Linked DNA regions of Caenorhabditis elegans. The protein of the gene in region 1 interacts with the protein of each later gene in a pairwise test. Each region holds a gene or a part of one and is shown on either strand. Other genes may lie near its edges.

What was found. Proteins that work in one complex are often made in the same cells at the same time.
Region 2: the proteins of C16C8.16 (region 1) and pbs-3 interact in a two-hybrid assay, tested with the Caenorhabditis elegans proteins (2 studies listed by BioGRID).

Annotation. Positions count from the first base shown.
Region 1 is NC_003280.10:3,444,109-3,447,397, reverse strand, and holds C16C8.16 (Ubiquitin-like domain-containing protein), read right to left. Parts: upstream 1,643-3,289; 5' UTR 1,629-1,642; coding exon 1,548-1,628; intron 1,500-1,547; coding exon 857-1,499; intron 811-856; coding exon 731-810; 3' UTR 656-730; downstream 1-655. Other genes in the region: C16C8.20 (Ubiquitin-like domain-containing protein), read right to left, coding at 361-441; C16C8.5 (Ubiquitin-like domain-containing protein), read left to right, coding at 2,034-2,087, 2,138-2,477, 2,522-2,670; C16C8.4 (Ubiquitin-like domain-containing protein), read left to right, coding at 3,033-3,113, 3,162-3,289.
Region 2 is NC_003280.10:4,953,921-4,957,244, reverse strand, and holds pbs-3 (Proteasome subunit beta type-3), read left to right. Parts: upstream 1-1,817; 5' UTR 1,818-1,857; coding exon 1,858-1,910; intron 1,911-1,961; coding exon 1,962-2,359; intron 2,360-2,408; coding exon 2,409-2,572; 3' UTR 2,573-2,765; downstream 2,766-3,324. Other genes in the region: ulp-2 (Ubiquitin-like protease 2), read left to right, coding at 78-180, 232-802, 853-1,239; ndx-3 (Nudix hydrolase 3), read right to left, coding at 2,829-2,966, 3,011-3,324. UniProt on the Caenorhabditis elegans protein: Non-catalytic component of the proteasome, a multicatalytic proteinase complex which is characterized by its ability to cleave peptides with Arg, Phe, Tyr, Leu, and Glu adjacent to the leaving group at neutral or slightly basic pH.

The DNA.
Region 1 (3,289 bases):
CTCATCTTGAAATTCGTCTTGTTCCTTCAAAATCTGAGTCTCTTGTTGCTTTTTCATATCACTAGTCTCATTTTTGACCATCTCCAAATCCAATATCAAATTTTCGATCACCCTGTTTTGATTTTTCTGGGTTTTTTGACAATCGTGTTTTTTCAAAATCTTTTTTTTCACTCGGGAATCGTTCGCCCACTATGGGGGAGTCTGCGCAAGGACAAGCAAGGACAAGGACAACATTCTAATGGAATGGAAACAACTGCCCGACTGCACCAATTCTAGTTCAAGCGAACAATGATAACTTTTGTATTCTGTATTCCTTCACGTCTCCCAGCGAGCGTAATAAATTATTATTATTATTCTCACCTCTGTGAATTCATTGTATATCTTGGAAGTTTCAACGCGAAGTTTTTGGAATTGAGACATCAAACTGCTTGTCTCCGACATTTTTAAATCTGAAAAAAAAAAGCTTTTTGATAATTTTTGAAATGCAAAGAAGTTCCTAGTTAACTTTTCTAATTTCCCAGGTAAATTCGAGAAAAAACTCTCTAAAAACTGAACAAGAACCGAAAACCAAGAAAGTTGCTTTTATTTTTGAGTAAATCAAATATCCAAATGATTGCAGAATCATTTTTAAAAAAAATCTGTGAAAAGCGAACAATTTTAGTTAACAATTATTTATTCGCAAAATAACAATATCTTGAAAAAAGTGAATGAAAATTAGAATAATTATGATTCAACGAGAGTATAGCCAAATTAATGCGCCTTCTTGAATGTTGTAGTAGGCGAGAGAGTGGTGGTCTTCGAGAAGTTTTCCTGAAATTCGAATTTTATTTTTAAATCTACTTTGAAACCAACCAACCACGAAGCACCATTCTGAACGAGCTGATGTCTACTTTTGCAAGTGAATTGATGCGAAGTTTGATGTGTCGAATTGTATCCGATCCGCACACGCGAAGTTTCCAGTGGTTTTCAGACGCGAATATGCCACACGATTCGGTCCAGATAACCAAAATCTCAAAAAATGGGTCAATTTTTGTCAATTCTACAGTTCCAAGTGGGACGTCTTGCACAGCTGATCCTTCCATAATCTTCATCATAATCTGATCTTGACTTTTCTGAAATTTCAATATCGATTCTAAAATCAGTTTCAAGTTTTTATCCGAATTGTCGATCAATTTTTCCTGAGACTCTTGTTGCTTTTTCGTCTCATTCAGCTCTGCTTTGACAGTCTTCAATTCCGAATTCAAATTTTCGATCGATTTGTTTTGATTTTCCTGGACTTGCTGAAATTCGTCTTGTTTTTTAAAAATCTTCTGGATTATTTCGAGAATCTCAAGAAGATCCTTAATTGATGTCGCCTGTTTCAGTTCTTTTTTCACAGATTTCAACTCCGACATCACGTTCTGCTGAATTTGCTTCATCTCATCGTTGAATTCGAATTGTTTTTCCAAAAGCTTCTCGCTTATGTCCAGAGTCTCTTTGAACAGCGTATAGCTGGGTTTCTGGAAGAAAATTGATGTTCTTATAATGTGTAAGCTCGAAAACTAAACCTCTTTAAACTCATTCTGTATCTTGGAAGCTTCAACGCGAAGTTTTTGAAATTTAGACACCAAATTGCTCGGCTCCGACATTTTGGAATCTGAAAAAAAACATTTTTTGAGATATTGGTGTTTTAGCGGTTACAACAGCATGCTTGCGAATAAAACCACATTTTCTGGCGTAATTAGATATTTTCTAGAACAATTCGGAAAATAAACTCCAAAAATCTCAAGAAAACTGAACAAAATTGAAAAACTGAAAGGAAAAATGTTCACGAACGAAATTTTCGAAGAAACTACGGTAGACGAGGAAGTACGCAGAGTGTTTACGGACTTTGCATTGCAAATGACGCGCATTGCTCATATTAAAAATTTTTTTTTTTTTTTTTTAATTTCAAATCTCTTCTCATTACAGTCTAATGCTTACAAACTGATTTTCAATGCCAGAAAAACGCGAAATGCTTTGAAATATAATATTTTCAGAATTGTTCGCGAAAAATGGACAACTCGAATAATGTGATGTCGAAATTGCAGAAACTTCGACTTGAATCGGTTGGGAAAAAAAGTATATTAAAACATTAAATAAAAATATTTTTTTCCAGAAATTTCCGAACGGCTCCACACTCGTCGAAAATCAATTGCTCTTGGATGTCAAATCGCTTTGCGCAGAACTACTCGAAGAACAGAAGTCGCTAAAGAAGAGACTTCAAAAAGTTGAAGAAAATCAAAAAATTGAGAACGCAAAGATCAAGGAGGAGCTGGAAAATCTGAAGAATGGCGGAAACCGAGTTGCGGACAATTCACTTTTTGAAATTTTCGTGTTCGATGATTACAAGTACCACGCTGTCGAAGTACGAAATTCTTATTTGATTCGTTATGTAAGAGTGAAGGTGGCGAATCTGCTCAACAACGATTTGGTTGAAAGTTTTAATCTGTATTATGGTTTGTTAAAACCAATTTTCATCACAATTTTTAAAACTTTTCAGGTGGTCAGAAGCTTCAGGACAATCGCTCGATTGGATCTTACAATATTGATCAGTCTCGAGAAATTTATCTAAAAAAAAAAAAAAAATTATCTACCCTGCTCTTGAACGTTACTATGATTATTAATTTGTTACCTGCCAATTTGATATAATTTGTTAATCTTATTTTTGTAATAAATTTTTTTTTTGAATATAAACTGGATATGGATTTTTCTATTTTGAATATGAGCATCGTATGGAGAATCAGTTATAAGACAGTTCGAATATTTTTCAGAAAACTTTGAAAACATTTTTCGGGTGATTTTTACAGTTAACTACTGTAGATGATGAAGTACGCAAGGTGTTTGCGGACTTTGCATTACTAATAACGAGCATTGTTTTTCATGATAATTCGTTGAAAAAGAAAAACAACGCGTTGTTTTCTTTCCATTTCTCTGGGTTTTTCAGTATTTAAATTTTAATTTTCAAGTTTTAAAAACTAAATGAATCTTATTTTTAGACTTGCCCACGAAAAATGAGTAACTCGAAGGATTTGATGTCGGAATTCGAGAAACTTCGACAGGAAACTTCCAAAATTCAATATTCCCTCATCCAGGTTAGTTATTATTGATTATTACTTTTAAAATTAATTTATATTTTCCAGAAACTTCCATCCGAGCCGTCCAGCTTCGTGGAAAATCAGCTGCTCCTGGAAACTCAAACACTTTGTGGACAACTTCTGAAAAATCAAGAAGAACAAAATATTCTCAATGAGAAGCTGAGAAATGAGCA
Region 2 (3,324 bases), 1.5 Mb from region 1:
TGGTGAGACCAAGCAAAGTACTGTCTGCGCAAAATAGGTTACTGTAACTGTTCCCTCATAGAATCCATGAATTTCAGTGCTCGTCAAGGATATCAAAACACTGGATCGCAAAGAATTCCTGAATGACAGCGTCATGGCATTTATGCTGAATTATATTGCATTTATGCTTTCGTCCGAGCTGTAAGTTTCATTAAACATCATTGGATTTTAAAAATTATAATTTAATTACAGAATGAAATCCGTGCATATGTGCAACACGTTCTTATTCGTCAATCTGACTCGCCTACTTCCACCATTGTGCTTCTCCAAAAGACGACCAATCGAACCAGAACACATAAAAATCGTGAAAGACAATTGCCCTCGAGTTCTCCGTTGGACACGAAAATTCGATGTTCTTGCCAAAGATTATATTATCATTCCGATCAACGAAGATCTTCACTGGCTCGTCATCGCTGTTATCAATCCATCGGGTGCAATTGTCGATATGTCGAATGAGGAAGCTTCCAGAGCTGCTCCGAAGTGTTATATTGTATTCTTCGATCCGTTGAGTGGTCTCGATCCAAGCAAGAAGAATCATATGTGTCACTGCATCAAGATTTATTTGGCTCAATTGTATGAAAACACTAAGGCTCCTGGAATGAAATTTGCGTCGAAGAATCCAACGATTTACGATGAGGAGAGAGTTGTCGTGACTCGTGCTGAAAACACTCCAATCCAAGACAACTTTTATGATTGTGGACTTTATGTATTGCATTTCATTGAAGGGCTCTTCTGTTATCCGAACCGTCCGGTCAATGTGAACGTAAGTAAATCTTCATGAAACATCACAATAAATAAACACTTTTAATTCAGGATTTTCCAAACTTTGACTGGTCAAAGTTCTTCCCGGAGGCCAATAAAATGTGTGACTTGATGCGAGACAAAGTTTACAATTTGATTCTTCAACAAGCGGATAAACCTGCGAGAAGCCGTCTCGCCAAGTTCGAAAGGGAGAACAAATGTGGATTGTCGCGTGAAGGAGCTCTTAGGAAAGCACGTCGTCATAGTGCAGTGAATGAACGTCGTACGAAACGGCACAGAGACTATTATGCACGTCACTATTCCTTGAGCCCGCCACACCGAAATGTGATGAACGATGATCCGACGTTCATGAATCCACGTGGATTGGCGGAAATGCCAATAACTCGACTTGTTCGTCGCCTCAGAATTCCGGAGGATAACTTCCCAATCGCTTACTAGGCATTTTGATCAAAAATTTGTCTCCCCTCTCAAAAATTGCCGGTATTTTCTTCTCTTAGTTAATTTATTTTTTAAAGATTTTATTATCCTCCCATTTTTACGCTCTCTCCTTATTTCTGCGTTCTCCGTCATAAAGTGACAATTGTTATTTTTTCTTTATAACTTGATCACTCAATTTAATATTTTCAGTTGATCTCCACTCTTTTTTCCTCCTTTTATTAAAATTTCAATATTCTGTTCCATCAATTTTCCTTTTGTACACCCATTTCACATCTCCGCAACGGTTTCTAAATTTTCTATTTGACTTCAGATTGTTTTCTTACCGTGTATGCGTTTTTCCGTCGATAAATTCGCGTTTTTAATTAATTTTTTTCATGTTCTGTCTGAAGAAAATGGTCGATTTCCATAGGTTCTCTTCAGCAACCCTGGCACGCTATTAGTCTCCGCCCACTTTTCCCTGCCGCAGTTTCCTATTTGTAAGCAAAATGTCCGCCAAACGATTGAAACGCTCATTTCACTTCATTGTTTCTCTGTTTTATTAAATTTCCAGACATTCTCACACTCTCTTTCAATTTCAGATATATCTCTTCGTCTTAAAGACCAGAAAAACACTCAAAAATGTCGATTATGAGCTACACTGGTGGAACCGTCGTCGCCATGGCTGGAGACGAGTAAGTTTTAAATTTCATGGTTGAAATATTATTTTATTCTTATCTTTTCAGATGTGTGTGCATTGCTTCGGATCTTCGTATTGGAGAGCAGATGACAACAATTGCAACTGATCAGAAGAAAGTGCATAAGGTGACAGACAAGGTCTACGTAGGACTTGCTGGATTCCAATCCGATGCTCGCACAGTCTTGGAGAAAATTATGTTCCGCAAGAATTTGTATGAGCTCCGTGAGAATCGCAACATCAAGCCACAAGTGTTGTCCGAGATGATCTCGAATCTGGCTTATCAGCACCGCTTTGGCAGTTATTTCACCGAGCCACTCGTTGCTGGTTTGGACGACACCAACAAGCCATATATCTGCTGCATGGACACTATCGGATGTGTATCTGCTCCACGCGATTTCGTTGCTGTCGGAACGGGACAAGAGTACTTGCTTGGAGTTTGTGAAAGTGAGTTTTTTGAATTTTGTTTAACGTTCAATTTAAATACTTTTTACAGACTTCTGGCGCGAGAACATGAAGCCGGATGAGCTCTTCGAGGCTACTGCTCAGTCGATTCTTTCTTGCTTGGAGCGTGATGCTGCATCAGGTTGGGGAGCAGTCGTGTACACAATCACTAAGGATAAGGTTAACGTCTCAACTATCAAGGCTCGTATGGATTGAGAAATTTTCCCCGTTCCCAACATTAAGTGTATACAATTTAATCTAATTTATTTGTTTCTCTTTTCCCTGTCTCATCCCCACACCCCAGACCGACCGGTTACCGTATTTTTCAACTTTTAAATTCTTTTGTGTTGGTTCTTCAATATCGAGAATACATTTATCACCCATTATGACTTGTAAATGTTTTATCTTTAGTCTCCCGAAGTTTATGGCAACAATTCTACGAACAAAAAAAATACTACACAGATCCTAAGAATTAGAAAAATTTCACAATTAAATCATGCTTATAGACATCTGGATTCAGCAGGGTCAATGCTTGATGCAACATTACACCAGAAAGCCCCCAAACTCGCTGGGTGGAATGAAGATACTCGTTCGGAGCATTGTGATGGACCTGAAAAACTTAACATTTTTTCGGAAATTATTTAAAAAATAAACCTTGAACTCCGTGGAATCGAACGAAGGCAGTGTGTACTTCATTCTCTTGCTTTGGAATTTAGTTAGTCCGGCTTTTTTGATAAGTTCATCAATTGGAATCGTGAAAACAGCTTGTACTTCATCAGAGTTGACCACCAGATTCTCGAGAACTCGCTCATCGGAAATGTATCCAACAATCGGAGTAACATTGAAATCCGCTTGCCGTCTTATCACACTTTTCAAATGACCCCAGATTTCCACACTTTCAGCGTTAACCCCGATTTCTTCAAACGTTTCACGGAGAGCAGTTTCAGTTGTAGTTTCTCCTGGATCCA